Drosophila melanogaster: one gene and its partners. The gene in region 1 interacts genetically with each later gene. Each region holds a gene or a part of one and is shown in the gene's direction. Other genes may lie near its edges.

Region 1 (8,355 bases):
ACCACCTCGGACACGGCCACCTCGTCCACATACAACAATGAATTCGAGTCACATCGACCACCCATTCGTCGCATTTCAGGTGGCTGGGCGGATTCTGGACTCAAAGGATTAAAGTGGGTATGATTAGGCTCGAATTAGGCACATTACTGATTGCTCTATATCTTTTTAGGTCCAAGAAAAACTCCTTTGATGAGTGAGTACAAGTTTATCACAATAACTTCACTTTCCACCGACTGTTATAATGATAAAATTCATTTTAGTGAGCGCTTTAAACAAACAAAGTCGGCTACAAATTCCATACCAACGGATGACATTCCCGTCATCCCAGACATGGATGATGTCAAGGACGAAATCATGCTCAATGAGATTGTAGAACCGCCAACGTAAGCAGAAGCTGCTATATTTCTCTTCACTACGATAATAAGTTGTAATTTGTAGTATTGGCACCTCACGATCTGCTGTTTTGAAGGAGGCCAATTCCGATTTGCTTTCCCAGTACGCCTTTTCAGCTGTGGATGGCTTTGATCTCTCAATCCTCACCGATTGCCTGGTTCCACAGGAGAGCCTCAACGAGAAGGACGATCTCTGGCAGTGGGACAAGCTGTTCACCGAGGTCACGGCTGAAATCCATTCGGATAAAGTGCCCAATATGGGCATGAAAATAGGACCCGATGTGATTCCACCCACACAATATACTTAGTATGATTTAGCCCACAATATCTGTGCAATACAAATGCTCAATAAGTTAAGCGAATACAAAAACATTTCTTGCCTTAAATGATCACAAAATATATACACTACAGAGATACTCAATTAAATTGTAAATTTTAATCTCTATAACCCTATTGGATGGCTCTGCCGACTCCATCGAAAGCCTTTTCCTTGTGATCCGCTGCATTGGCACGGGATTCGTAGTTGCATATGGTTACGCCATGGTAATGAGCTTCTGTGAACTCTCCTCGAAGACCTTTGAATAGTGACTTGGTTTTAGTTGGGAACACAGATAAAACATAGATTGTTGTGAGCTTACCTATATAGTAAATGCGTGTTATGTCTTCGCCAAAATTGCTGGGAAAGTAGAGGGAGAGATGGTGCACGGAGGAGAAGGTGACCACTTTGGGTGAGTACTCGATTTCTCCGCGGGCATCGCGGGTCAGCTGGAACTCCTGGTCGGGCTTTGCTCTGGCATCATCAAAGGTCATCCTGGGTCGGTTCTTGAAGCTGAAAAATAAGATATATGATGAATATAGTAATATTAAAGCAGCCTTGACTTTTGTTCCTTACATTTTGACCATGTTTGGATGGGAGTCATCATTGGCCCCACTTATGATGATGCCCTTGAGCTTGATGTTGCCGGTGAAGGGAATGTTGAAGAGGAGCTCTTCATCCGCATCGCTCTCCACGTACTTGGACAGATCCTGGCGCTTCTCGTACGGCTTAAAGACACTTTTTCCCTGGCCATCCGTCTCCTCGTTCAGGCACTCCACATTGTCCAGATCGATTTTGGTGTACAAGCTGTACTCGATGCCCATTTCTAGGGCGTGGTCCACGTCCGAGGCCTCGTGGCTGCAGCCGCCGTGATCGTGAGAGTGTCCGTGCGGCATTATTTTTATTTTAAATTCAAAAATCGAACAAAAATTCAATGTAAATAAAGCAGCCGAGTCACAACGCAAAATACGGTCACACCAATTTGCCATTCACAAGGGATGATGTTATCGATGCCGATAAGTTGGCGGTATATTTGAGCTCAGCGAGTGCGGCCACACTTTCCTTAACATTTCGCAGCAACGTGTTCTGTGTAAATCGCTGTGAATTTATTGTAGAATAACTGTGTTTTGTTAAAAAACTATAACTTAACCCTACAATGGCGCCCAAGGCAGCAGCTGTCAACATCAAGCCAACGGCCAAGGCCTTCAAGGACAAGTCGAAGCCCACCGATGTGCGTTTGTCCAACATCCAGGCGGCCAAAGGTGAGAAAAAGCGAGGAAATTAACAAAATTAAACACATTTTTGTATCAAAATGTTGGCGTATGTGCTATTTATTGAGCTAAGAACCGAGGTGACTGAATTCCGAGCAGTGGTGCATCAGAATTTCCGGCCAAATGGCCTATTGAAAAAGCAGTTGGATGCCGGCTGTCTGGAAACTTCTTGGGCGGAAGAAGAAGAAGAGCGCGCATTACTCATGTGATGAATTGAAACAACCTAAAAATTGAGGATTTTTAATACTCTATTCCCAATACCCTTTTATCCGCTACAAGGATTTTATTGTTTATCTCTTAAGATAAGTTACAGTAGATTTTTTGAATTAACACATAAAACACCATATGTCTTTTTGTATGTATGTATGTAAATTAGTCATGCTGCTGTGTAAAACTAACCACACGAATTCCACTTATCTGAGTTTCTCATTAAGTTTTAACGAAATATTAAAATACATTTATAACCTATTGAAATAATTCTGTTTTCCAGCCGTTTCCGATGCTATCCGCACCAGTTTGGGCCCCCGCGGCATGGACAAGATGATCCAGGCCGGCAACGGCGAGGTGTCCATCACCAACGATGGCGCCACCATCCTGAAGCAGATGAATGTACTGCACCCGGCTGCCAAGATGCTGGTGGAGCTGTCGCGTGCCCAGGATGTGGCCGCTGGTGACGGCACCACCTCCGTGGTTGTCATTGCCGGAGCTCTGCTTGAGGCGTGCGAGAAGTTGCTGCAGAAGGGTCTGCATCCCACGGCCATTTCGGACTCGTTCCAGCGCTGCTCGAACAAGGCCGTCGAGATTCTTAAACAGATGTCCACTCCCATCGAGCTGGACGACCGCGAGACGCTGATCAAGAGCGCCTCCACCTCGTTGAACTCCAAGGTGGTGTCGCAGCAGAGCAGCCTGCTGGCCCCCATTGCCGTGGATGCCGTGCTGAAGGTTACGGATCCCGGCAAGGAAACCTCTGTGGATCTCAAGAACATCAAGGTCATCTCCAGCCTGGGTGGCACTGTTGAGGACACCGAGCTGGTCGATGGATTGGTCTTCACCTGCCGCTCTGCCGGATCCAACGCTCCCAAGCGCATTGAGAAGGCCAAGATCGGTCTTATCCAGTTCTGCATTTCGGCCCCCAAGACCGATGTGAGTACATCGCTATGATCCTAACAATTTATTGTCTTTTATAATTTATGCCGAAATTACAGATGGATCACAATGTGATTGTATCGGATTACGCTGCCATGGATCGTGTGCTCAAGGAGGAGCGTTCATACATCCTGAACATTGTCAAGCAGATCAAGAAGTCAGGATGCAATGTTCTTCTCGTTCAGAAGTCTATCTTGCGGTAGGTTTAGCTTACTTGTTATTTGTCCACTTTGTGCTGATAGTTCTCCACTTATCTAGCGATGCTGTCTCTGATCTGGCTCAGCATTTCCTGGACAAGATCAAGTGCATGGTCGTTAAGGATGTGGAGCGCGAGGATATTGAGTTCGTGTGCAAGACCCTGCACTGCCGACCGATCGCTTCGCTGGATCACTTCACAGCCGAGAACCTTTCCAGTGCCGATCTGGTCGAGGAGGTGGCCAGTGGTACCAACAAGTTTGTGAAGATCACCGGCATTCAGAACATGGGACGCACTGTCTCGATCATCTGCCGCGGATCCAACAAGCTGGTGCTCGAGGAGGCTGCTCGCTCCCTGCACGATGCCCTCTGTGTCGTCCGTTGCCTGGTGAAGCTGCGCGCCCAGATTGTCGGCGGTGGTGCGCCCGAGATTGAGATGGCCCTGCAGCTAGCCGCATTGGCACAAACCGTGGAGGGTGTGGATGCGTATTGCTTCCGTGCATTTGCCGATGCTTTGGAGGTGATTCCCTCCACTCTGGCTGAGAACGCCGGTTTGAATCCCATTGCCACGGTCACGGAGCTACGCAACCGCCACGCTCAGGGTGAGAAGAACGCCGGTATTAATGTGCGCAAGGGCGCCATCACAGACATTTTCGCGGAGAACGTTGTGCAGCCGCTGCTGGTCAGTATTTCGTCGATCACCCTGGCCACGGAGACGATTCGATCGATCTTGAAGATCGACGATATTGTAAGTGTTATACAAATGAATGAAATGATTTAAATTTAAATGAATGTTTTTATTTATTCACAGGTCAACACCTTCAGTTAAGCAGTGTAATCCGCATTCTTCGGTCGTCTGCCTCTGATCAAGATCAATCTTCACGCAAATTCATCTAAAGTCTCACATCTTATGTCCATTATGCGGTTGCGCATTAAATTTTGAATAAAATTCACATATACACTACGCCTCACCAGCTTAACATGTATTTAAAAAATAAAACTATATGATTAAATACTTCGCTAACACAACCTACATGAAAACTTGAATTTAATTACTGATATGTGCTCTTGTTCTGAGGTTAAATAGTTCTATAAAATTAGTTAATCACAAATTGGAGTAAGGAAAAATGTTTAGGAAGTTCGTACTCATTATATAAAGACTTATATATTCCTTAAGATTAAAAGCTAATACCTTTTGCGGTTAAGCTTATTTGTAATACATATATATTTCCTTCTTAAATGGAATTTCTAAGATTTCATTACAGCGTAAAAGTCTATCAACTAACCGAAACCTTATCTAGTGAGCGAGTTCATTTTTCTTGTTCTTAGCCAACGCCTTGGGTTTCAAAGGGATGGCTCACCCCCAACCATTTCGCACCCCCGCCCCAATCATTGTATTCCGTTTAGGTTTTGGGGATCCTTTTTGTCCTGGGCGTGTAAATAAAAATCACTTGATGCGATTTTTATGATGTGCGTTAAATGATTAAACCACTTGAACTGGTTTCAAATTGTCAAAAAGGGAAGACTTAGGGGTTGGGTTGCGAAAGGGTCTTTATCCTTTTGTTTTCTTAGCCCCATTTTGGAAGTTCATGCGGGTGGGGTTTTCGCTTGGGTGTGATTAGACGGGGACTATCTAACGTGTCCGGAAACTTTCGGCGCGTGTAAGTTAATTAAATGTGTAAACATGTCAAAAGGGATCGAGTTCACCAGCCCACTATCTTCCACCACCCATCTAGGTGATGGCCAAGATGGTGTTGATTTCGGATCACGCCACTGATTGGCTTTGATTTTTTTTTTTAGCCCGTCCAATAAAAGCTATTCCGCTAATTGGCTGCTGAAAAGTTTTAGGGGTTGGTTTTCTATCACTTTTCCGGGAGACGCATGCAAATTTTCCATTTTAAAGTTTATTTGCGCAGCAGCCATTGATTTGGGTTTCCATTTTGACTTGCAGGGGGTGGAAAAGTCAGTGCTCGCTTTTCAGATGAGCATATTCTACATACATTTTTGATAATATGAGATCATTTTCTTTAAACTTAATTTTGTAATCAACATTTTTGAAAATCTCATTAAATAGAAAATACATGTTTTCTTAAGTATTTCAAGTACCAATCTTAAGCTTGCATTTTATCCACCTAAGAAAATGAAGTGTATCAACTCATTCGACTTGAGCAGCACCCCTCTTAGTTATTTATTTTATTTTCGCTACTTTTATATTTTTTAGCTATTTGCTCGACTGTCTTGGGGCATTGTCGTTCACGTCCTCGTTCCCATTTGTTTTTTGAGCAAATATTGAATTTGCGCTTTTTTCCCGAGCTATTTGCTCGCAGAGCCAGTGGCCCACACTTTTGAAACTTTTTATTTCGGGCACTTTTCCTTTGTTTCGCCTGTTTGCTTAATTTTTGTGTGCGATTTTCTTCATCTGCTTTTTGCTCATTTCATATTTTCATTGTAATTCAATTGTGTTTTCCCCGCGTTTGCTGCTGTTGTTTTTTTTTACCCAAATGTTTGCACAAGTCTTATGTTCTCCAGTCGGGCGAAAAGGGCGCAAAGGGGTGTGTATGTCCTGTATGTCCTGTGTGTCCTTGTTACATTTCTTTTTGCCAAACGAATTGAAATTCAAAGCAACGAATTGTCAGCCAGTCACGCAGAAATTTAACATATGCTCGCCATATAATTTGCGAGCACTTTCAACCGAAATTACCAGTGTCTGTCATATCTTAGATCTCGAGTATCTGGCAGATAGAATAGGAACAAAGGATGCTAAAAGATATAAAATGAATCAAATATATAAAGAAATAGTTTGCTAAGTGCAATAGCGTATTTATCGGTCTAAGAATTATGTTAATCTATCTTCCATAATTTGTACCTATTCTTATCATTTGTATCTCGTGTTACTTATTCATAAAACGAAAAAACTTTTTCTGTTTAAAAAAAATAGTTTTTCTTATGTCCTTAGACTTCAAGTATTTATTTAATGGTCCAAACATTTAACAGCTCAGTTTAGCGAAATACTTCCATCTAGTTCATGCCACTCAAGGAGGCAAGACCGAAATGCTTATCAAGAATAGAAATGCTGAAGCAAAAGCATAAAGGAAACTTAATTTTCGTTAGTCCTGCCAAGTGGCGAGTGATTAATGATGTCAGGACGACGACAATATTATGAAAACGCATTCGAAAATTTCATTAAATTGTTATAAATGAATCGGGCGAAACAGGAATGAAACATATTCCGGCGAGAAAATTCAATTTGCAAATGCAGCAAATATTTCAACGTTCGTTGAAAGGAAAGGAAATCAAATCGATCAAATGAAAGCCAAATGAAATCTCGACCGGACGATCTGAAACCACCGGGGTAATCCCCCCGAAATAATAGCCCACGGGGCTTATCAACCCACTTGGACCAGTTCAGGCTTAGGGCACTTTGAATATGACCAATGCAATTGAAGTTTCCCCCCATTGAAAACCGAAATTGCGTCCGCTGCCATTCTTCTTTACATTTTGGCCATGTGGAATGGACGGACGTCGTCTGCACTGGACTGATAACATTCAAAGAGTCCCAAGCCCCCGAGCTGCCCAAAATTCGAGTGCCCGCCAATTAAGTGTGAGTGCTGGAATCGATGGGCTTTTCCTTTTGGCCTCCGTTTGATGTGTGCTAGAGTGTGTGTGTGTGTGTGTGGGCGAATGGCCTGCAAATTAAATGGGGTAAGGATTCTGGTCGAGATTTCACCTCTGGCCAGATTAAAAATTTATTCGCAACTCTGGCCAGCTGCAGGCAAGTAAAAGTTTTAAATAAATATGTGTTGCCTCAAAGTGAAATACATAAATTAAAATTAAAGTAGCCTCTAAAAATCAAAATGCAAAAGGATATGTGTCTATTCAGATTGATTTTAAACCAGGCATATGTAGGTATAAATGTCTATATTTATTCAGGATATTTTGAAGCTTTCCTTAAATGCATAGAAAATATTACTCAATAATATTTATCCAGCTTAAAAAAATGCTAAAAAACCAGTGCTAAGCACATGTGTCCTTTCCACTCCTTTTCACAATCATTTACCTAATTTATTGGCACACTTCCATTAAGATATCTCCATCGAGGACTTGACTCGCTTAAGCGATTTCCAAAGGATACAACTGGGACAACATAAAATACTTCCACTGCCCACATCGTAGTCCAAAAAAAAAAAAACAGCAAACAACACAGGAGCTATATCCATACTACCCATACTACAAGACCAAAATCAACCACCGAGGCGAGGAGCATATGACATAACCATGTGTGAATTGATGGCATGAACCCTTTGCCAACTTCCCCAACTCTATCATTTTTTTAGAGATTCGTGCCCTAAACGAATCAGAGCCCGGCAAACTTTTGGCAGCAGGGGGAAAATCCGGGCCGAGGGATCGGAGTTGGGGGTTGGTAAAAAAAGGATTTACACGCTTGCCTCGATATACAAATAAGGGTTCTGTCTGCGCTGCCATATTGACTGTCGCCGGGCCCAAAAAGATGAAGTGATTTCTTATCCAACAAATCCACACTCGACAACCAAAGCAACCAAAAAAATAAAAAAAAAAGGGGTTGCTGGTTTGGGTCCTTCCTTCGCATCCTTTTGCTGTTTTGGCCCGCGTTTGCCAGGAAGTTTATTAAAAAATGGTCTTGTTTGCCTTTGTCGCGTGGCTGGCAAACGCTTTTGGGGCGGGCCAAGGAAATCAGTTAACTAAATACCTCGTTCAATATTTATTTAGGCTCTGCCTAATGAGATTCGAGTGCGTTTTTATATGGCACACGCTGGAGTAAACCTAAAGAGCTGGCTAATTGAATAATAAGCTAGGGCTTTTCAAAAACATACAGCTGGTAAATATGGGTGGCAAATTAAATGAAACTCCTTTCTTTAGTGCATTGAATAAGATAAATAAAAATAAAATAAATGTTTTTAAAAAATAATATAGAAATGGAATGGAACTAAGCAGAAGATTCTAATATATAGACCGCATATCTTGAACTGCATCTATCTTTGATTACAGTTTCCACCCA
Region 2 (5,754 bases), on another chromosome or scaffold:
AGCTGCACGCCTTTGATAGCCGGGGACGCGGCCACACCTGGCGGCTCTGCATCGCTGTGATACCTCTGTTTATCGCACTGCTGGTTGCAGTTAGTCGCACCTGCGACTACCACCACCACTGGCAGGATGTGACCATCGGCGGGCTGATTGGCCTGTTTGCAGGCTATATAAGCTACACACAATACTATCCCTCCATCTTCTGCCCTGATGCCGGCATACCACTGGTCAGGTGGCCCAGCAGAGAGGGAAGCCAGTACCAGCGACTGTCTGGAAAGGACGACAATGGCAGTCGTGGTCCCCACCATCTCGATGGTGGGGATGCGGTGCGGAGACCTCTGCTCGCTGACAAGGAGGAGTCCAAATGGTACTAAAAGCTTTACGTAATATTATTGTGAGTGTTGCTTTCCCGTTTAAGGTTTTTAAACATATTAGACAATTTCTGATTTAAAAATGTGCTGCTGGTTTACCTCGTAATAGGATGGGTAGGGTTTGTTAATAAAAACTAAGCGCGTCAATTGCTAAACGTAAATTTATTGCTCATCTTTAGCAGCAACATCCAAATCTAATTTGCTACATCAAAGTGACCGAAACTAGCCTAAAGGACACGATATGCACACTCAGATTCAAGTCATGGAATTGAAGGCCTGCAGAAGCACCTGTTTTTCGCGCTCCTTTTTCTTAACTACGTCAAGACTGCGTTGTCGCCACGTGCTCTTGCGCAGTTTGATAGGCCGGCTGCCCACATAGCGGCCGTCCATCTCCTTCATGGCCCGTATAAAGTCGGCCGGTTCTCTGAAGCTCACGAAGCCAAATCCCTTGCTCTTGCCCGTGCGCTTGTCCCGCACCACACGGGCCCGCTGAAACGAGGGGAACTTGTTGAAGGTCCGGGTCAGGACCTCGTCGTTGACGTCGTTTCCCAAGTCACCACAAAAGATGCGGAAGTCATCGTCGGGCCAGTCAGCCAGCGAAGTATCCTCCCACACGGTGCCGCCAGCGATACGCACCGTCTTGCGGTCTTTCTTTTTCCGCTCTGTTGTCTGGAAGGATTGCAGCGCCGATGATGCGCGCGCTGCCTTAATGGCCTCCTCTGCAATGGGATTGGGTCCAGACTTTTCCGCCTTGAGCTTCTTCAGCTTCTGCGTTACGTCAAAAGAGACGGCGTTGATGTCGATGGAGGGCGCGGCGGCCACGGTGGGCACGTGCACAGACTGCCGGCACTGATAAAGTTTGGGGGCGCTGCTCAGGACTACGGGAGTGGCAGACATAGCCTTGGAAGAACCACCTCCACTGCCCGTAGGCACGAAGGTGGACATAAACGTGGGTGGAGGCGGCATCGGGGGCGGGGGTACGGTCAGACGCGATCCTCCATTGCCCTGGTGATGCTGCAGCTTGTGCTGCGAGTTTTGGTACGTATTGGCGGCTATGATCGGGCGCACCTGGTTGGGCACGAAGAGATTGCGGGCGGGGGGCTTCGAGATCTCCGCCTCGAAGCGTGAGAGCTCATCCTCGATGTTGCGACGCTTTGTACCCATTTGAAGTGGGGTTTTCTCTTTTAAAAAATCAAATCAAAGCAAGTTTTTACGAAAGTGCTGCAGAAAACTCGGAGTACTAAACAAATATCGATTTCGTTCCCAATCGATTGCACTATTTTTATTTTAAAGGCCTGTTTAGACATGTCCACAGAATCAGGCTCTATTTGCAATATATAACAAATAAAACAGTTATTTTAATATCATAAAACGAAGACATTTAATATGTTTTAACTATTTAAGAAAATAACTGCGACTTTTTACACTTGATTACGACAAGCACCTTTCCGAACGGGCCTTGATATTTTCTGCAATTGTTGACCGTTAAACTAGTAGACGATAGTGTAGTGTGACGGTTCCTCATTAGCTGGCAAATGCCTTATGTTAGTAGGCTAGGAGTGGTATTTCGGCTTCGTCGACACCAGCACTGATTCAACTTCAGAATTACTGTTTTCTTTTAGACGATCTGATAAATAATACTGGAATTAAAATCGCCGGAAAAGCTCTAGCTGTGATAGAAAGTATCCTCAGCAAGCAAAATAAACGCAGAAGCAATATTCCTCATACACACATTTAAAGAAGGAGCACGGGCATACCCACACAAGCGCACAAAAAGTCGAGGGGCGACAGCAAAAACAAAAGTGTGGAAAATCACAAAACCAATAAATTTCTCCATTTATTTCAAAGCACTGGGCCCCAGGAAAATGCCAACCAAGGAGCGCCACATAGCCATGATGGGCTACCGATCAGTGGGTGAGTTTTCCCAGAAAGTTCCGCCAGAAGCACTGACACTGTTGCTGCTGGCACTGGTAATTGCGTAGTATTTCGACAACAGCAAGAACTATGATCAATTGACCATAATAATTACGCTTCGCCCGCAGGCAAATCGTCGCTATGCATACAGTTCGTGGAGGGCCAGTTCGTGGACTCCTATGACCCCACCATTGAGAACAGTAAGTGTCACATCCCATTCCGTGCGGATTTCTTAGAAGCCAGGCTGACTCCATGCTTCGATAGCAGTAGCAATGCGTAATGATCGGTAATTCCCATTCGCAGCCTTCACCAAGATCGAGCGTGTAAAGTCGCAAGACTACATCGTAAAGCTCATCGACACGGCGGGCCAGGACGAGTACAGCATATTCCCGGTGCAGTACAGCATGGATTACCACGGCTACGTCCTGGTGTACTCGATAACCAGCCAAAAGTCTTTTGAGGTGGTGAAGATCATATACGAAAAACTGCTCGACGTAATGGGCAAGAAATAGTAGGCTTCTTCCCCGTGGGTTCCGCTTGAGAGCTAAGCTAATCTTTTTTGCCTTTCAGTGTACCTGTGGTGTTGGTCGGCAACAAGATCGATCTCCACCAGGAACGAACCGTTTCCACGGAGGAAGGCAAGAAGCTGGCCGAGTCCTGGCGAGCTGCATTTCTCGAAACGTCCGCCAAACAGAACGAGGCAAGTACCAAGACGAATCACACTAGCTGAATGCAACTAAGGTACTTCCTTCGCAGTCCGTGGGAGATATATTCCATCAGCTACTGATCCTCATCGAAAACGAGAACGGCAATCCCCAGGAGAAGAGCGGTTGTCTTGTATCGTAGGGCGGCTGAGTAGCTAAAACTACGGCCGAACTGTTGGAAATACGGCAAATCGCTATGGCAATACGAAAATCGATTATCTCTTATCTACACAGTTGGGTCAGCGTGCATGGCGGGGCCGTACCCTTTGTGCGCAGCAGGAAAATCTAAAAATCTAATAGACCTAGTATTCTTAAGACCACACAGCAAGTAACCAATATCAAGCGATCTGAATGCGTCCGCTAAACGCTGCCCAGCAGGTTTTGTGGTTCGCGTCTGGCGCAACACAACAGGTTTAAGTTAGTACGTTTTTTTTACAACAACAATTCAGTTACAAATTTCATATACAAATTCTGCAAACTTTTAGTTTCAATTTAAATATAATTTTTCAAAATACTATTCAAGATTGTATTTTAATGGTCAACATTTTCGATTGTGAAAAATATAGAGGTTGATTTACTAAAGTTACAAGTGCGTCGAGAAGACCTGCCAGTTGCAATTCCAAAAAGCTGGATTTACTTTATCTCGTCCCTATAACTGATTAAATAGGACCAATACCTTAATGATTTCTATAGATTCCCAACCGTTGTGAATTCTCTGGAGACCAAGGTTCAGCAAGTAAAAGAACTGGGAGGATCTCGGTATGGTTCTTAATAAGAGTAATTTCAAACCAAATTACTATTTGGATAAACTGAAAGACTCACCTGGCCACTCTAGCAATATCTGCATCTGTTAGCAAAAAAAGGGGTCTTTAAATTTTAATACCGCTATTTCTTATGTCACAATTGGTCGGACGAATTTGATTGAATTAAGATTTGGCTGGCTTAATATTTCTAAAGACTGATTATAGAAAAAAGACATAGAAATTATTTCGCATTAAACCGATTATGAATAAAAATATTTCTTGTCTTACTTATCTTAAATCTAAAATGCCGGCTAACAGAGCGTTGCGCGGACTAACAGTGCTGTTAACTGTCAGCTGCCATAACCCACCACGAAAATAGCAAATCCACCACAACGCGAGTTCCAATCGGACCGAGAGTTAAATGTTTTCCGATTTTCAAACAGCGAACTTGTGCGTGCGTTAAAATTAAACTCGTTCAGCATTTAAATCGTGTGAGATCTTTGCCTTTTAACGGTAATTTACCAAAGCGAGCGATTCGTATTAAATGTGAATGTTCCCCATGCAGAAGAAAGCGAGCTTGTTTTTCTTCTCTATTTTCTGTATTGCAATTGTTTTTTTGGCTGACTTTGGCTGGGTCTGTGTGTGTATACTTGTGCGCAATGCGTGGGTATTTTCTCAGTTTTTTGTTCTATTTTCAAATTTTATTGCTCTCGCATAATGGTATACATATGTACATCATTATGTTTGACCGTTATTTCGAATCTCCAACACCGCGAGTTTTTTGTGACGGCATTTCCCACTCACGATTTGTAAGCAATCTCTATACATTTGTATGTACATATGTATGTGGATAGGCATGTTTGTACAACTGCACTTACAACCCGCTAATCAGGTGCAATGCACATACATTCATCGATTCCGACTCGGAATCCCAATCGGAATCCGAATGGGTGGGTACTGGCTTTTCTTGTTGCTTCCTTTACGGGCCACAGCCTTTTATCGATTTAATAACAAACGAACGTCAGCGAGTCGTTGGACTCTGCAAAAACCGGCACTCGCACTTGGCGGCGATGTCTGGCCAGGATTAGAGATGGGAGCTTTCAGATGGCAACGGAATAGATGTTATTGACGTACTTACCAAAGCTTACATATGTATGTGCAGATATGTTTGATTTCCAGGTTCATTTAGCTGACTGGCGATAAGTGTTGCACGCGTATCAATATTCATACCCCCTGGTGGTGGTGGTGGATCTACAGAACCAGGCTATGCCCATCTGGGGGATGGGCCCATGGCTGATAAGATATGTCGCGATTTTATAGCGCCCATAAAAGCCGCAGCAAGCCCACAAAACAAGTGAAACCTGCCGATTGTGCTATCAGGGGATTAAACTCACAAAATGAAAAATCAGTCCATACTACATTGTAAATATCGTTGAAGCTCTTATTTGCAAATTAAAACACATTACTCCTTGGCTTTAAAGACACAATCTAAATGGAGTAACAAATTGAAATTATACTTATGTATTTTCCTTACCAACAACTCGCTAGTTTGATGACCTTAACTGACCGCAATTAATAGTATTTTTATTTATCATCAAGCTGGCCTGGGAGTCCCGTTAGAGTGCTTAATTGGCACAGCAAGTGCCAGTGAGGCAACTGCATTTTTCAAATTAAAGAGAACTAGCGACCCACAAAATTCGTACAGCGAATGAGCTTAGCACATTTTCCCCGCATTAATGCGGCTGCATTAATTGCATTATGTACCTGCGAGCCCACTTGTGTGCATTATGTATGTTTAAACACACTCCTTCCGCGTATTTACATATATGTGTGTACATACATACGTATGCATGTAGCCATGCTAAAAGATAGTCTAGATCTAGATCAGTGCAGCCAAGCAGATGGGGTTTTTGTGCTCGGATGTGCGCCGCCAAAAGGGGAAAGTGCTCACTTATCCAATCCCACTGCCGAGCTACCAGTCGCAATTGAACTAATGAAATGTAGCCATCCTCCAACACGTCATGC
Region 3 (6,736 bases), 3.1 Mb from region 1:
GAATTTAATTACTAGATAGTCGCATGATAAAAACAAGAATATAACAATAAAACAAAAACAATATAAGCGTATCAAATATGCGTTTCAAATTACGCTCCCAACGGAAAATCCAATTATTTAATATCCGTTAATCGAACAATCAAAGCAAAATTTATATAATACAATTTCTTTTCTAAAACCCCATTTAACATTAAGCACGTTGCACATCTTTTATTATTTTAAATACCCGATTTCCAGATATGATCAGCCCGGAAAAATAGTGAACTAAATATGCAGAGCAGTAAAAGTCAGGCTAACATAGAAGTTATTTTTCAAAATTTGAATAACGCGCCAATAAAAATCCCGCAACGCGATCGGCCGTAGTGGCAACGCCGCTGCCACTAAACTCCGACTCTCTCTTTGCGCCGTGTGGCCAGATGATTATGGCCTTTTTTTTTGCTCTTTCATCGCTCTCTCGATTTCGATCTCGTCACAGTGCCACTTGCGATCATTGTGTTACTTTGGAGTCGCTGAAAAATCGCGGGGATCGCATCGAATTGGCCTTGACTGCCGTGGGGTTGAGCTAGCCGTGAAAAAGACCGCAGAACCACGATAAATCTGTCGAAAAAGGTGACAAAAAGGAGGCTATACTGTCTTGCTGGCTGGCGTGCGTGTGTATGTGTGCGGCGGTGTGTGCAATTTTTTTCATCACCATTCCAGTCCGCGTGTGTTTTTCAGTGTGCAATCCCGCTGAGAATTTGCCCGAATCCTGCCCAACAGCAGGTGAGTGATGCCGGCCAATTGGCCCATTCGATTTGCAGCAGGTGCAGGGTTCAAAAGTTCGTGAACTTGCTTTTTAAGCCATTTCCTTTAGACCCCGTTTTCTCCATCGATATTGTAGCAGTCGAAAAGTAATGGAAAAAAAACGTGAGCAGCGACGTCGACGTTTTTGCCTCTTTCTCTCTCTGTTCCCCTGCCCCTCTCGCGCTCTCTTCCGCGCCTTCTCTTTGCGCGCGCAGCTGTCATCGCTGTCAGCAGCGCGCGCCGACGTCGGGTTCCCGCGCGCGGGAAATCATCAAGTTCAATCGATTCTAATTTGGCCGAATTGAACGGGATTTTCGATTTTAGTGAAAAATCAGATTCTGCGAGTTTTGATCTTTCAATTGGTTATAGGCACGCATGGTTTTTCATTTAGCTTACCTGATTTATAAGCGCTCGAAGTTGGTGCCAAAAATGCTCGAATGTTAATCGATGAAAACAACAAAGTGGCAGTGGTTTGTTTGGTTTCAAAGCAGCGTTACCACCTAGTTCGACCTCAGTCATCTTGTCATATGTTATTTGGCTGCAGTTCATAAAAACTACTAGAAAAGCATATTAAACCATGTAATTTCAGGCTTCTGAAGAATAAATAAATAATTAAAATTTTAAAGATTTATGAATACCCTTCAAGATAAATTTATTTTAACCTTGAATTGATTTTGGAGCGCTTTAAAAATATATTAAAAAAAATAGTTTCATATTAAAATTTAAATATTTATTTTCTGAAGGTCATATTTGAATTAAAATTGGCATATGACATAGAAATAAATCTTAGGTATTTATATATAACCACGATATATCCGACTAAATCCGCCCTTCTGGCATCCTCGTCAGCTGTTTTTCGACCACCCAGCTGACTGGACGTCGAACCTCCAATTGTAGTCTGACTAGCCTGTTGGGGACTGGGGACTCCAATTGCAGACTCCATTCAATAAAATGCCAAGCTTGCCACCAGCGGCTTCATCGCCCCGTCTCGCTTTCTCACGCTCTGTTCTTTGCGCTGGAGATGCTCGCCCCATCTCCGTCCCTCCCCTAGAGTACAACAAAGTTGCCCCCTGTGTTTGTTGCATTTTTTGGCGCTTCGGATCCGCCTGTTTTGGCGCGTTCCTCATGCACACTCGCCGCAGTCGACGTCGCTGCTTTTGATACCCAGTTCCACCAATTTTTTTTTCGGTTCCAAAGCGATCACTTTGCTGCCGCCGCTCCGCTGCTCGTGAAGTTTTTTCGTGGCCGGCGACGACGACGACGAAAAACTCTCGAAAAACGTTGTTCAATTCCCTTTAAGAAAAACAAGTGAAAACACCGGGGATATTATGTTAAGCATTTTTCCGCTTACTAGAAGGTAAAACCAATTGCACAATGGTTTTAGTGGATAAAAGGCAATACGTTATTCAGAGTGGAATAAAATTTATGACGCGTGTGCGGTGACAAGTGTGTGTGGAACAGTGAAGGAAAGAGCGGGAGAGAATGCTGCGTTTGCCGTCGTGTCTTTGCATTTTTTGCTACAAATACAACATCCTCTTATAAGAAAATTGACACGCTGTAGGATTTAACCGTTGCTTTCTGATTGGCAAGAGACGGGGTGTCCAACTACAAATTGTCTCCCCCACACAGTGTTTTAGTGTTCCCCCTATAAGGAAAAGTGTCCTATTAGAATTAAACCGTTATCCAATGGGAACAAATTGGAAAATCCTATGAAATAAATGAAAGCTTCTAATCACGTCTAAAAGTGCACTGAGTTTCTAATGCGTAACGGGAGTTCAGTGAACTATTACAGCTTTTCTTACTATAGAAGGCTTGAGATGCAGCTTATGGTTTACCCTGCTGTTTGGGCCAACTTTCTAATCTTTCTCCCGCCCGAATTGCACTTTTTCCCGCCATTCGCATAGATTTTGGGCGGTAAAACAAAACTGCCCCAGCCCAAACGCCTAATTCGCGCCACTTTGCGTTTCTCCATTCTTTTCCCATGCTCATTTCATTTTTATACGCTTCCTCCAATGACACACACACAAGCACAAACTTGGAAGAAATGCGCTCGCTAAGAGAGAGAGTAAGCTCTCTTTCTCTCGCTCTCTTCCGTTTTATTCCAATCAGAACAGCGAGTCAAGTTATTTTCCCCTTCCCAACACCAACAACAAACAAAAACGTTTTAGTACTGCGCTCTAAAACGGAAAAAAAGAGAGCATTTGACTGCGACGTCGAAAAAATTCGGAAAATCGCCGATCAGTCGACGGACCTTTCGAAAACTTGACGAACACGAAGCAGAGGTTCAAAGCAAAATGGAGTAAACGAGTGAAGAACAAAATAATGAATTATGTCAAAAGTGGCGCAAATATCTTTGGTACACGAAGAAAAAGATTGGTAGTGGCATTTAGCCCTTACCCACAATCTACGTACATACATATGTATGTATGTTTACATATGTAGAATTAATAATAGTATTTTAATTATTGTAAAATCGTGGTTATATTTATTTTTGTGAGTAGTTACTCTATGTACGTGCTCCCAACCAATGAGTGAGCGAGATAGACTGCCAAGTGGAGAATGGAGTTCATTGATATTTCTCGGCGTTTTGCTTTCGCTTCCCCTTCGTCTCCACCTTGCTTCGCGCCATCTTCGTTCTTTCCTCTTCTCCTCTGCTTCCATTTACCTGCCACATTCATTTTGTTGTTGTTTTCTTCGCAATTTTTGCTTTCTTCTTTATTTTTTGCATTCTTTTGACGTTTTTTAGTTTGCGTGTTCGCTTTTTGCGCCGTTAAACTTTTGGAGCGATCGCGGCGGGGGTGTGCGTGGGGGGTGGGTGGTGTATTGTTGATGGGGTGGATTTTTGTATACTTAATTTTTCGATTATGTCATGATCGTGCCGAAAATCAGCCGCTTATGTTTAGATTTGGCCAGTTTAAACCATGGGGAAATAAATTGTTTTTCTTAGAAGTGATTTTGAAAAAAGTAAGAGCATCAAGTTTTTGATGATTCAGTGTCGTGAATTTTGTATATTTTCCCAACATTTTCTTTTGTTTGACCCACCTAAACACTCCTTATATGATCTATTCAAATCCTAGTCAACACCTTTCAATTCTGCTCATGATCCTCCAAGTGCTTGCCACCTTCGAAAGCGGTATGTCATCAAAGGATTTTCTAGACGAGATGGGAACCCAAACTGATCTCGAATATTTTCTCATCATATGTACATACATACGTAAATGGTTATAGGAATCCACACATATCAACTGGCCATATTAACCCGAATTCCTAGTAAAATACCAACAATATTTCTCAATTACAAGTGCGGAATGTTTTACAAATATTACATGTTCTCCAAAAGGATGAGTTGTGAATAGTAACTCCTTAAATAAATGGTTCATATGTACATATGTATGTATATGTGGGCATTTTTTTTTTATAGTCCATACACATTTTTGTCGCTGCGGCAGAAGAATCCGATTCGGAATCGGAATGAGGTGAAGCCGTATGTATGAGGAGCAGAAACAACAATGATAAACAGTTTCCAGTTATTCCCAGACAAACAAAGGATAGTCCGTCCGACTGGCGATTTGTGGAGCGGGGAAGAGACAGGACGCAGGCCACTTGAGCTAGCTGACTCGCTGTGGGCATCCTTTTAGACGCTGCTAAATATAAACTAAATAGTCAATTGAGCGCGTCCCGATGTCCTAACGGCTACTTCAAGGCCATCGATTCTTGGAACTGGAACGCCGCCGTCGCCATCGCCGCCGCTGCCGCTCCATTCAAGAACTTTGATTTGTTCTCCTCCATCGGCTGGGCCGACTTTACTTTCACACGCCGTTTTGCCCAGGCGGCGCTCTTTAGATACCCGGCACACAGATACTCAGATACTCGGACTCACAGATACACTGATGCGCGCAGGCGAGGATCGACTTTCCTGTTCTCGTTTGCAGTACCCTGTAGTTCTGGGTAGGGTGGGCATATGCGACTGAAGCAACACAGCAAACTTGGGCCAATTGACCATTAGAATTTAAACGCATTCATGAGTATGAAAAGGAAGCATCAAAGATCGGGTTCAATTCAATGATGCTTATAAAGCAATCTTCGTGTATTGGTTTAAACTTTTAGTAGTATTATTTATAGTTTCATATTATGCAAATATGATTAGGCTTTCGATTTGAGAAAATATCTTCCTAATGAACTTCACCCTCTTACCCTATCAGCATTATGTAGCTATGTTGTTACACAACTCCTGCAGACTTTCGGTCCACCGAGTTCCAACTAATTGCAAGAGTGGTGGCCAAACCACAACAATGGAGAGGAGGCGGCATTGGCATGGACAACGCCACAAATGCCCAGATGCATGTGCATTTTTATCTCGAGTATCTCAGGAATGTATCTCGCCGCATGTGCAGAGGAGCCCAAAATGCAGCCCAAAAAGGACGCACAAAAATTGCAGGCCCAGACAGTTGAAGACGCCGGATAACTCGAGACCTGTTTTCCCTCTACATATGTACATATGTATATAGTCTGGCATATACTCGAGATACATACATATTTGTATATAATTTTTTTTGCGCTCTTCTTTGCGCATTTTGCGCATTCTTCTTTGCATTGCCTCAAGTTGCATTTCATATTGTATCTCGAGACTTGGTCCCATTTCCTTGTGGGAAATCTTCCGCACAAAGCAAATATTCCGAAGATGAGGGAAAAAAATACGGTCGACTTTATTTTCGACACTCGGTTTTCCAGTTAAATGACCTTGAAGGACCCCGTCCAGGTAAACAGATTCACTCATGCATCGTACACCTTTAATTAGGCGCTGTGCGCAAAGGAAACCCCCGAGTTTATCCGCTCGATCCGCGGCATTATTCATATTTGTATACCTGTCGCCGCGGATTTCGCCCGAACTCGCAGCCTTCTTCACTTAATCTTCATTAGAGGAAGTTGCAGCCGCAGCCTGCGTGTGGGCAGTTCCTGCAATTAGGTAGGAATCTATCTTAGTCACTGGTATTTGGACAAGAATTGGATTGCTCTAGCGATAATACAGTCATTTGTTTGCCAAGAGCCGCTGTCAACTGTTTTGTAAAACTAAAGGATATTATCGCATCCTTATTAACGAATATTAATTTTAGGACGTTTTGTGATTTACAAAAAAGATTACATTAATCCGACTATAAATGATGTTAGATGTGTAACATGATTACAACTGAGAGATAAATGTCTATTCTATTGCGTTTTTAGGTTTCTGCTGTATCTTAAAGATACAAATTGTTTCATAATGTTTTTTGAGCTCGAATATTTACAAAACCCAGATCTTTATATTGGGATTACGATTTAAATGATGATCTTATTAATTGTTTTAAGATTTTTAACATATTCTTAAATGACCAAAGAGACTTATTTTTCTGTGTAAGGAAATTTCTTTGTTGTAAGTAGAATAGTTAGGGGGTTGAAAACTAAGAAAGCAAAAATGCTCTAAAAGGACTTCGGGGAAGCAGAGGGAACCCAATTAATTAGAAGGCATATCCGCAATTAGTGTGAAAATGATGGTTGGAAACAGCAAAATATTGTGCATGAGAAAAGGCCGGAAAACGCAAAAGAAAAGCGAGGCAAAAAGTGAGGAAAATAGACAATCCGTTGCGTAAGAACAAGAAAGTAGGGGAAAGAAAGTCGTTGGCTAAAAAGCATTCGCATATGGGGTAGGAAAAAAAGGTGTCGAACTGAATGGTAGGCCGAAGGGAGGTCCATAAATCGTGGCGAATATAACGCCAGGCCCATATGTCACACGGAAAAAGGAAAATAAATGAAGGAAGAAAGGAAGCGAGGAGGGGAGGGAGGGGTAGGGCTAGGGGAAAAGGAAACGCGACAGGATACAATTAGCGAGGGGGAAGTCAATTGAAGTTACAAAAGCAACAGCAGAGACATTGCCAGAATCCTTTTAGTTGGGGTAGGATCTTCAACAGCTGCCACT

The links.
Region 2: of CCT4 (region 1) and Rheb, changing one enhances a phenotype caused by changing the other (phenotypic enhancement), as found in Drosophila melanogaster (one study listed by BioGRID).
Region 3: of CCT4 (region 1) and CycE, changing one suppresses a phenotype caused by changing the other (phenotypic suppression), as found in Drosophila melanogaster (one study listed by BioGRID).

Annotation. Positions count from the first base shown.
Region 1 is NT_033779.5:12,686,332-12,694,686, reverse strand, and holds CCT4 (chaperonin containing TCP1 subunit 4), read left to right. Parts: upstream 1-1,752; 5' UTR 1,753-1,864; coding exon 1,865-1,970; intron 1,971-2,469; coding exon 2,470-3,122; intron 3,123-3,184; coding exon 3,185-3,324; intron 3,325-3,383; coding exon 3,384-4,068; intron 4,069-4,131; coding exon 4,132-4,149; 3' UTR 4,150-4,351; downstream 4,352-8,355. Other genes in the region: IFT43 (intraflagellar transport 43), read left to right, coding at 1-113, 170-193, 261-383, 439-700; CG6153 (uncharacterized protein), read right to left, coding at 843-967, 1,031-1,221, 1,285-1,604.
Region 2 is NT_033777.3:5,566,990-5,572,743, forward strand, and holds Rheb (Ras homolog enriched in brain), read left to right. Parts: upstream 1-1,931; 5' UTR 1,932-2,050; exon of another isoform or gene 2,051-2,216; 5' UTR 2,217-2,233; coding exon 2,234-2,282; intron 2,283-2,410; coding exon 2,411-2,482; intron 2,483-2,585; coding exon 2,586-2,793; intron 2,794-2,852; coding exon 2,853-2,982; intron 2,983-3,038; coding exon 3,039-3,128; 3' UTR 3,129-3,502; downstream 3,503-5,754. Other genes in the region: CG12746 (uncharacterized protein), read left to right, coding at 1-371; CG2931 (uncharacterized protein), read right to left, coding at 624-1,532. UniProt on the Drosophila melanogaster protein: Binds GTP and exhibits intrinsic GTPase activity. Activates the protein kinase activity of TORC1, and thereby plays a role in the regulation of apoptosis. Stimulates the phosphorylation of S6K through activation of TORC1 signaling.
Region 3 is NT_033779.5:15,741,859-15,748,594, reverse strand, and holds the start of CycE (cyclin E), read left to right. Parts: upstream 1-1,984; 5' UTR 1,985-2,111; coding exon 2,112-2,140; exon of another isoform or gene 2,141-2,338; intron 2,339-2,951; exon of another isoform or gene 2,952-3,203; intron 3,204-6,736. UniProt on the Drosophila melanogaster protein: Essential for the control of the cell cycle at the G1/S (start) transition. Targeted by archipelago for degradation by the SFC ubiquitin ligase complex.